Linked DNA regions of Arabidopsis thaliana. The protein of the gene in region 2 interacts with the protein of the main gene of each other region in a biochemical or structural test. Each region holds a gene or a part of one and is shown on either strand. Other genes may lie near its edges.

Region 1 (7,100 bases), on a different chromosome or scaffold from region 2:
CTCCACCATTGAGCTTCTTTTTCTTGGTCCACAATGCACTTCTTTTATCAATTATGTGAAAATGTTTAGTGCATTTGTAGCTAACCAGACATATACAGAGAAGTGTCGACAAAAGAAAAAATACGATTACGAATTCGTGCATTACACACCAAAAATTATGTATGCATTGGTAAAAAAATGTCCTAGAAAAATAATATGACTTGTATGTTTTGAGGGGAATCTTCTGTTCCGAAAACTTGTTTAAATTTATTTTGGTTGACAATTTGGTTAGAGTAAAAACAGCCTATTCAGATAAACTGAATCATGTGATTTGGTATAATAAGCATGTTATAAGTTCGTAAACTCTACAAAAATAGTTAGTCTCTAGTTGAGTTCCACCGAATAAAATAACGTGTCTAATAAGACTCCAAGTTCACATGATCATATATATATATATATATATATATATATATATATATATATATATATATATAAAATTGCAAGCGATTTTACAATTATACATCCACTTGGTTTCAGATATTATATTTGCAATATTTGTTTGTTTTCTAGCTCGTAGGATCTTCTGATTTTTCTTTTTGGTATACATTTTACCGAATTTTAATAAATTTCCACTTATATTGTCATACTCATTACTCTTTTCTCTTGATATCTTCTGAAAATGTTATCCCCTGGACATTATGCTGCGATAAAGTCATCAACGAGGCCCAATTCTGAACATCTTCTTTTTAGGCCCAATATAAAACGTAGTCTCTCTATTTGTCTACTTCGATAATTTTGTTAGCACTTTCTTGTGCTTTGTATAACGCAATCAGTATGTATCACATAAGTTAAAAATAGAAATCCAAACACATCTAAGTAATGTAAAACATTTTATGTCCGATGTGAATAAGTGTATATTTGTTCTTGGCAAAAAAAGAAAAGAAAAGATGTATATTTGTTGTTGTTGTTGTTGTGTGTATCTTGGAATTTATAGAAAAAAAGAACAAAATGTCATCACGGAATCTTTGAGTTGTACCTTTTTATTATTATCATCATCATATCTCATATCCACCTAAAACAGTGTCAACTATTAAATTCTCGACAACCCACAAAAGCGAGTACGCACACACGTCAGATTCCGACTTGTCAAAATCCCGTGTCCGAGATCTACTTACAGCCGCAGAGTCCACTTGTGGTCCTCAGACTAACATCGTTGCCTCTATCTCCACCGTCCGATCTTCTTTAATAATACCAATAGAGACAAATGTTTTTATGACAACAAAAAATTAAAAACAACAATTAAAAAACAACTCTCAGGATCCGAATCAGTTCCCGCTTCGGATCGTCAGACACGGACAAGTACGCCACGCATGACGTCATCATATCTGCGGGTTCTGTTTCATCATGGACACGTCAGCGGAGACGATGAGAGCCGTTGATTAGACAAGAAGAAGAAGGGACGGCTGAGATGCCTTGACGCGTTAGCTCAGCCAAAACGCTCTCCGCGGACGGCGGTTTTAGCCCGAGCGGTAGCGGCAGCCACGGTTTGCTTATCGCTTCTTTAACCACTTGATCTAACATTTCCTCGTCCTGACCCGACCCATTTACATCGCAACCCGACCCGGCAAATTTTATTTTTTATTAATTAATTAGGAATTTTTATGTCTTAAAAAGAAAATAGAGAATTGTTGACACTAACCGGCTGACTCGCCGGCATTATTTTGAAGCCGGTTTCAGCTCCGTTGGGATATTGAAATCCGCCGGCGGTAGTATTCTGCAACAAAAAAACAAAAATCTCTTTAAAAATTAAAAAATAAGATTTTTGTAATGATTAAATTTCCATAAATATAAAGTTTAATATTATAGATTGTGAAAATATTCACCGAAGGAGTAATATATGATCCGGTCACAGGCGGTCCAACCGGACAACCCCATGCATTACCGCTCACCTGAAACATCATATATGGACGATTTAGCTATGGATGTTCTATCATAATGTCACAAAATATGTCTATATAGAGAATGCATTAGCTAAAATGTATAGGTATGAGTTCATTTTATCGTTTAATTTGTAGATATGTAATGACATTTTCTTGTACAGATAAATGTGATTTATTTTATTTTAGCTAGAATCTTTGACTTATAAAAAGATGTTACCGTTGGATAAGGTGGTTTCCAATGCCACGGAGGTGGTTGACCAATGGACTGCAGCGGCGGTGGCCACAAAGGTGGAATCGCTCCTGGCGGATAAACACCGGGAAGACCCCAAACGGGATAAGCCATCACGGGACGGTGTTGCTGTTGAAAAACGTTATAATTACGTTGATTTGGTCTATGGTTCTCTCTAGATTGTATCCATCTATGGTTATGATCATCCTTTGGAAGAATATTCTTCCTATGCTGCCGAAATTTCTGGTCAAAATTTTCAAAAGTTGTGTAACATTTTACAAGAATTCAGAAATCTTGCGAAACATTCGACCCTTGGGATCTAATTACCTGAAGGTGACTAGCTACATTGTGTCTTGTTAAGGTGCCTACTTTCATCAACTCAAGAATCCGCGAGGGTATCGCTTGATCAACGCCGAGTTGCTCAACTGCTTGCACAAACTTCTTGTGCAGCTCTGGTGTCCAATCCACCTGTAGAAAAGAAAGTAGTAACAATGATAACGAGAGCTTGAATCTTTTAGCACTGAGGAGCGTCAAGAGAAACACAACGTTACCTTCTTTCGACTAGTTTTGTTACCAGACACGTTCTTGATCCCGGATGATTTATTAATCGGTTTAGTCTCATCTTCTTTCTTATGAATATCAACTGAATCTGTCTTCTCGCTTATGAGATCTCCGGTTTCACCTTCTTCTTCTTTTTCACTGTCTCCTCTCTCTTCTTTGACAACCACTTTGTCGTCATCTAATTTGCGGTTTGTAGTGTCGACTGATTTAGATTCACCGATGTCTTGATGATCTTCCATGTTATCTTTCTCGGTCGAGGAATTTACATTTTCCATCGAGAAATTTATGTTCTCTTGGCAATCACCGTCTAGTAACCGTGAATCTTGTTTCAATTGCGGTGTTGATGGCGCTGGATCTTTCTCCTCGATTGTCATGTCGGTCTCAAGATGAAGCATCGAGACAACGGATTCTTTCACTGGCTTAAGTGATATCGAAACATTACTTCCACCATCATTGAATGCCTAGCAACATAAAAATGTAACAACAACTTTCTTAGATTATGATTATATTACCGAGGAATTAAAGACGCGAAAAAACTAACTAAACCTTATGAACAACATGCTGCCAAATGTTCTTTAATTTCTCCGGTGAGAGCGGTTTTTGTAGGAACTCAACTGCACCAAGCTGAAAAACACTTATCAATTCTCATCATCACATAACCAACATTCTTATACATCTACGCAAATGCAAGTCGCAATCACTTACCGCTATGCATTTCATTGTAGTAGTGATGCAATGATCGGTTGAAATCACTGTAAAGACATAAAAGAATCCACATTTTAACAATCTTTTCGTATTGTAAAGATTTGTGAAAAAATAAAAAGGGTACTTGTAAAAGGTTCACAAACTTATAGTAGGAAGAACGTCTTTGGCAGCCTCAAGAAACTTGAAACTCTCACTCTCAGCGCTCATATTCACCTCGACGATGGCAATGTGGAAGCTCTCCGGGTTCTTGACAACCGCAGAGAGTGCTTCAGTTTCATCGGTGAATGTAGTAACTGCAAGAAAGTTCCAAAAAAGCAAAAATTGAATCTATAATCTTAACATTATGTGTTTGATAGTCAAAACACACAGAAATCCATAAACAGTTTCGAGATAATTTGGATCCTGGTTCATAAATATAAACTAACAAAAGTCCAAAACATAACTGCACAAGCTTTTACTACTTATGTACGTATCAACTAAAAGCGTTGCATTTTACATATTAATATTATTTTTCCCCCTATATATATACACAATAATGGTATAATTCTATTCATAGGCTATTGACCAATCTATACCTGTGTATGTCTGTGTGTATTTATGCAAATATAATAGAAGGCGATACAATTTAGAATTGTCACGGGACATGTAAGAGCTAAAGCAACTCTAATATTAAACTAGTATAGTCTCACTCACATAACTTATGATTAAATATTTATGCATAACCACTGATTAAATAACCTTTAAAGTAAGAAACAGAGGAAAATTAGTGGCTTACCGATATAGTCCATTGATTCGAGCTCTGATCGAGTCTCGGCGGCTGAGGAGCCATCTCCGTCGCTGTCACAGCCGTTGAGGAGAAGAAGAACCTTAAGTCCTTTAGGAAAATTTTCCCATTTTGATAAATCGTTAGCGGTAATGACCATAGCTGGTTTTGCATCGTTTTTGCGGCCAACACCGCCGCTTTTCGCCGCCGTCACTGTCGCCGCCGGTTTGATTCTACGGAAAAAAAGTAAACACTGGCTAGATTTTATTAATAAAAAAAGGGGAAATGAATAGAATAAACAAAAAAATTAGACAGAATAAAGATACAAGAAAAGTAAATATTCAAAAGGTGTGTGTATTATTGATGAGATAAGAATAATTCATGAGGAACTTGATTTTGTTATTTATAAAGAGTGGACCACCATGCCATGAAATCTAACAAAGCTTTTGAATCATTTAAGAGTGAATATATTATTAGTTTAGTGTTGTTTAACTCGTGCATGCAGTGATTAGTTAACTTAACAACACAGACTAATGACCTTTAACAAATACTAAAACATAGGCTTATGACAACTAATGAAGGAGAAAGGCAAATCCCTAGAATTTAGGGAAATTGAGAGAGAGATATATACCCAGAGAGAAAAAGAATTGTGATCAAATCATAAGTTGCACTTTCGATAAAACTGATGTTTTTTTCTTTCCATAAGCAGAAGAAGGAGAAGATCTTATATCCAGATAAGAGATCATGCTCACATCACATGCAATGAACATGTAATTGATCAAAAGAAAAGCTTTGGAAATTTAAAACCAAACAAACAAACTTTCACAATTCAGAAGTCAAATGAGTAAATTCATATTTTAGAGTTCTCACCTTACCTGAGAGAGTGTTTCTTGCAGATCTGCTTAAATCCTTCCTCAAGCTCTCTTTATCTGTCTCGCCCTCTCTCTATCCTGAGTCACATTCAAAGTTAAAAAAAAAAATAAAAAAATTTGGGGGGTGACTTTGAGAGAGAGAAAATGGATGAAGAGTTATAATAAGTTGGTGACTAGTGTTGTTCTTGTCATTGGGTTATGCACAGAGATAAAGAGAATAAAAAGTCTTACTAAGATAAAGGTTAACTGAGGTTAGAGGAAAAAAGAGATAAGGATTAATTATTATTTTTGTCTTTATTAATCAATATATAGGATTAATTTCCTATAACAATACAAGAAAAAATCTAAACCTTACCAAAAAAAAAAATCTAAATCCCTTAATATGTCATTATATCAAAATTAGCCTAGTTTTATTAAATGTAGACCAATAATTTTACAAAAATATAACAAAATTTATTGTCCGGTATAGAACTATACCCATTTGTACCAATCAAAACGGTGCGAAGTAAACCGAACTAACATGATAAGAAAACTCTTTTAAAAGCTTTTTTATTAACTAATGAATATATTCTACTAAATGAATGGTAAATGAAAACATAACAAACTAAAACAAGCAATATTGTGAAAAAAAAAACAAAAAAAAAACAAGCAATATTCAGCTTTCATTTGGTTCTAAGTTTCAACAATGTTTCTGCATTTTAAAGAACAAATAATCTAATAACCAAAAAATTAATCTGCACTAAAAATCTTTACCATAATCATTATCACAAGAAAATAATGGAAAACTTTATGCCAAAATATAGATCATATATGTATTTTTATTGATGGTACACTATGTTTGTGGAAAATAATTATATATGCATAAGGTAGGGAAAGAAAAACTTTATTTTGCAGAGGTTCCATCTTTCAAACTCGTTGCCCAACTTTTATGATGACATGTGTGTGTGGTTTCAAAGCAACAGTTGAATTTAACCAAACTTCTTAATTTAATTAAAACCTATTTCCTTTTACTACTATATATCTAGTATTACTTAGGCTAAACTATATTCAGTGTGCACCCAAAAAAAAAAAACCTTACACTAAACTTTAAAATTCAAATTGCGCAAAAATCTAGATTAGTGAATACAGAATTAGTGTAAACACATTATTCTTTTCTATTGTCATTAATTGATTGTTAGATATAATTAATTACAGATGAAACAAATAGCATTGATTGTCCTAAATTCATAATGAGGTATATTCAACAACCAAACGAAACTTATATAGCATTTCTTGTAACGGCAAATGGAAAACTTTAGTTTGACCATATCCAATTGTGATTATTATTTTAAAACAGAGTAAAGTTATGAATTGGTAGTCATTAATGTCATTATTCTTACTCAATTTTAATAGTATAAATTTTCTTACAAAAAGTTCACCAATGTGATTATTTTGAAAAAAGGCAAAAACATAATATAATGGAAAACTTTCGTTAGTAGATGGTCATTTTTTACTCATTGGAATGATCATTGCTTTCGCTTGTTCGTTCCTCCGTGACCATCCTTTTATTTTATTTTCCTTTTAACATAATTATTCAAACTTCATCGTATTCTTTTGAGGTCAAAATTGGAGATGATCAGATGTTTGTTCTTTGGGGGTGAAAATAAAAAGCTTCATTACTTATAAAAACCGTATGAGCAAATTATATGTTATGTATGCAAGGATAAACATTTTTCTTTTACGATACTAAAGAGATATTCGGTAAAAAATTCTCCAATAATACATAATACACGTTTTTTTTTCTCAAGAAATTGAACATCAAAATTGGAGTAAAATAATGACATTAAAGACTCAAGATTGGAGTAGAAGTAAATCTCAAAACTAGAGATTTCACATCAACAAATAATGTTTATGCTTTGTAAATTACAAGTTTCCTTTTTTTGTTTTTTTTGGTCATCTAATAGATTATATTGGATACTTGGATGTGTTGACGAAAGGCAGGTTACAAATACTTGAAAACTAAATGAACTGAATAAACGAAACCTACATGACCCGACTAAATTAGCCCGGAC
Region 2 (3,967 bases):
AAGGGTTTTAGAATGGAGTTCAACCAAAGCCTTATCTTTTTTAGACACTACTAAAACGAATATTGCAAGTACTAAATTGCTCTACTCAATGTAAATATACTATCTCAGCTTCTAGGTCATTTTGTGTCCACTGTGATGAAGAAACATGAATCGAGAGACAGATCTCAATATGAGTGAAAGTGACAAGCATCAAGAACATCATAAATTTCTACAACAACCGTCGGCAGACAAAAAAGCAAAGCTACTTAACCTTCAATGATGGGGACTTGAATTGGAATTTGGAACAAACAATTTATAGCAAAGCTGATAGGTTATAAACAAATTCGACAGTTCAACAGATTTTCTCACCATTTACTTATTAAAAAACCACTGATTTTTGGTTCTTCAGACTGCTTCTTCATTAGGGTTTTGCAAGGATTGAAGATGGAAGTTAAGGATCGACCACCAGTTCAATTGTGGCACGCTACCGTCGAGTGACCGAGTCAGATAATTACTCTCGGTTTAGTTCGGTTTGGATTTTCCGGTTTAAAAAACATATGTTTAAAACAGAACAATACTTTTGGTTTGGTTTGGTTTGGTTCGAATTTTGGATAGGAAAAATATTATAGTTTTTTATCGACCGAAAAAAATCATTGATTCAGTAACACACACTTTAATTATATGTTGGGAAAATATAGTAACATATTGAAATATAGTTGTAATTGTGCAAAAACAAACTCTTAAATCATGGCATTTCACAAAATGCTAATAAGAGGCAGCAATCATCATTTTAGAGAATTCGTGGAAAGAAAGAAAACCATCGCCATCAAGGTCGGCTTCTCGGACCATATGCTCCGCTTCTTCTGCTGTTATCTTCATCCCCATGTCCTTCATTCCTTCTCCCAACTGCATTTCGTTTATAGAAATTAGGAGAAATGGCTAAATAAACTATAGTTAAGACTTAAGAGTTAAGAGAATGGCTTATATTATAAAAGTAAGCTAATAACCATTTGACCAAGTTAAATGACCAATCTTTTTTGCATTATTTTTGAATATAAATCTTTTTAATTCAGATAACGAAGTATTTTTCAAGTAGTATGTGACTATGTGTCTCTCGATTGTTGTGTTGTCGCCGTGTCGGTTTGAGAAAAAAAAAACAAGACCATATGAGCAATGGAGTTTCTTATGGCGACAAAAATTTGTGTTGTAATGAGTGAATGATAGTAGATTATAAAGATAATAATAACAAGGTCTTCAAAAAAGTAACATTTAGTAATTTCTCTTCTTTCGTTATATCCATCTACATGATCACTTAATCTTATTATATATGTATGTAACTCGTTTTTTATTGTTTCCATGTCAGGACAATGTACTATTTGGTAAATAGTTAGACAATTTATTTACCTCAAGTTGAGATATGAGACCATCTCCGTCTCTGTCGAACACTCTGAATACCTCAATTAACTCATCCGATGCTGATTCCTACAACCAATTTTTTCATTATTAACTTTTCTCTACAATTATCAATCTTTACTATAACTAAACGGTTTTAAGTGTGTATATATATTTTACCTGAGAAGTGTTTTGAGCCATAATATACAAGAAATCATCAAAAGTGATGCCACCGTTGCCAAAGATGTCAACATCGCTCATCATCTGTTGCAGTTGTTCCGCCTTTGGATTCTTCCCCATCGACTTCATCACTTTCGTTAGCTTCTCCTTCGTGATGAACCCTGTTTCACATGCATCATAACATCATCAAACCGATCGATTCTGAATAAATTTGTGTATCAAATCGAACAAGAAAGAGAGAGAACAAAGCAGACCATCGGAATCTTTGTCTATGAGACAGAAGGCTTCGTAAAACTCTTGGATCTGTTCATCTGTGAAAGCATCCGCCATATCTTCGATCACAAAGAAAAGTCAAAGTCTGTCTTTGATTCAATCTGATGATCAGCTTCTCTTAATTTGTTAGTGATGAGAGAAGAAGAAGGGAGCATCTATCACATTTAAGTACACATCACCTCTTGGCTCTAGGCTCTTGCCCGGTCAAGGTCAATACTCATGACCTTGCGTTTTCATTAGTTGTGATATTTTTTCTTGAGCACGATTCCAGGTCACGCGTCTTTGTTCAAACTTATGACTTCAACGCTTATTTTTCTTTATTTTCATAGTTATTAGAAAAAATACTTATAGGGAATTAAATTAGGATCTTGATTATTGCGAAAAGAAAGGGTGGAGTAATGCTCGGGTTTGAGGACTCAAGAATTAAAAGTCGTACACCAAGTTGCATTTTAAGAAATAATTGATGTACGCGTGTCTCTAATGTAACCCTTGATTTTGATTTTCCATTATTTAGTGTCCTAACAACTTCTGTCAAGAATTCCATTCAGTAACTTTGAAAAGTTATATGTCTTGTTACCATAAAAAGCGAAACATATCTTAGAAGTGGGTTTTTTTTAATACCAAATGGGATTTAAAAGGTAATCAATATGAAAAAAACGGACTGACCATAAACATTTTTCTTCTTGTACAAACATGTCTCTCCAAAGCAATGCAGATAAGAGATTTGTTAGAGATGTTGTGTTCTAATTCTAACTCCTACTTTTATTCACGTTATGATGAGAAGTTGAGAACGAAACATTGTAATGTGAATAAAGGCTTAATCTGATAAATATTGTGGGGTCTCTTATGTTTATGTCCATCCAATATTAGTGGCTTACGGCTAAGAAAAATATGAAAATATATTGTAGTGTTCTATACTTCCATTCGATCTGTTTTCCACTTTTGAATGATTCAAAAAGTCTGGATAACCATAAGTTTACAAATTTAAACAAATATTAAAATACTGTTAAAAACAAAACAAATCACTAATACTACAAATTAGAATTTCGGATAGATGTTTCATTCTACAATCGGAGAATAGACTAGTTCAAAAGCGGATACATATTAAAAGATTATCGATCCAACAAACCAAATTCGATGCAAATATATTAAAAACAATATCCGCTTTGTGCCTACCTACCCTGTCCCATACGGTCATAATTAAGAATTGAGGCTAAGTAGTATTAACTGCAAAAATGTTCCGCACTAGTCACACTACTTTGGTCGTAAGCTTACTAAAGAGGGAGATGCCGTGTTATATATCCTTAATTGGATGTTAGTTGGTGGCGTTATCTGTTTTGGTATCTAGAGATCTATGCCTCATTTAGATCTTCTTCTCTTATCATAGTGTATTTCTCATTTACAAACAACCAAACAAATTAAGAAATAAGATATGGGTAAGTAAGATCATAAACGTTAATGTTTGATTTGGTATGTATGATACGATTCAGAATCAGACTCACGCGAATTTACGCTCCCACTACGCTTTACTTAGCGGAGATCGGATTCGGATCTCTCATTTGATTACATTTTCAGCTAATTTTGTTTTTTATTGTTGTTAACTTAACTTTCATTTCATCACACTAGTCTTTGTTTGATGTAAAACAGATATCTTGATTCCCGTATTAGATGGCAGAGCTCCCTTATTTTTGTCTTCTCCCACCAATATTATACTATGTTCAAAAAATAAAATAAAAACATAATATACATAAGGGACGATCACTACAAATAAGCATGCATCAATCGATGTAAATATATCCATTTGGGAATATTATTTGAGAATCTAACTCGTAGTCGTAATTATAATATGTAACGATGCTACCAACTAATTAAATAAGTATTTTGAGGTTAAACAATGTTTTTCGGTTTAGCTTATTTAAGTCATCCAAGTATAATAACATAAGTTTGTTGACAAAAAAAAAACAGTATTTTGAGGTTTACTCATTACTACCAACTCATTCGCATTTTGTCGTAACTAATTTGGTATATCGTATACTTGAAAAATACATATATCTATATCTTGATTTTCATAATCCTTAACGTTACAGTATCCACATATGGTCCAATTAACATCACTGGTCAAACAAGAGAACAATGATCAATC

The links. The genes of interacting proteins can lie anywhere in the genome.
Region 1: the proteins of CAM9 (region 2) and APRR2 form a complex in vitro, tested with the Arabidopsis thaliana proteins (one study listed by BioGRID).

The regions. Positions count from the first base shown.
Region 1 is NC_003075.7:10,002,346-10,009,445, forward strand, and holds APRR2 (CheY-like two-component responsive regulator family protein), read right to left. Parts: upstream 5,275-7,100; 5' UTR 5,048-5,274; exon of another isoform or gene 4,809-5,047; intron 4,431-4,808; 5' UTR 4,338-4,430; coding exon 4,190-4,337; intron 3,708-4,189; coding exon 3,558-3,707; intron 3,462-3,557; coding exon 3,415-3,461; intron 3,334-3,414; coding exon 3,256-3,333; intron 3,171-3,255; coding exon 2,700-3,170; intron 2,617-2,699; coding exon 2,476-2,616; intron 2,392-2,475; coding exon 2,137-2,391; intron 1,929-2,136; coding exon 1,863-1,928; intron 1,754-1,862; coding exon 1,679-1,753; coding exon of another isoform or gene 1,646-1,678; exon of another isoform or gene 1,570-1,645; coding exon 1,393-1,569; 3' UTR 501-1,392; downstream 1-500.
Region 2 is NC_003074.8:19,267,434-19,271,400, forward strand, and holds CAM9 (calmodulin 9), read right to left. Parts: upstream 2,226-3,967; 5' UTR 1,882-2,225; coding exon 1,806-1,881; intron 1,713-1,805; coding exon 1,552-1,712; intron 1,462-1,551; coding exon 1,384-1,461; intron 886-1,383; coding exon 745-885; 3' UTR 518-744; downstream 1-517. UniProt on the Arabidopsis thaliana protein: Potential calcium sensor.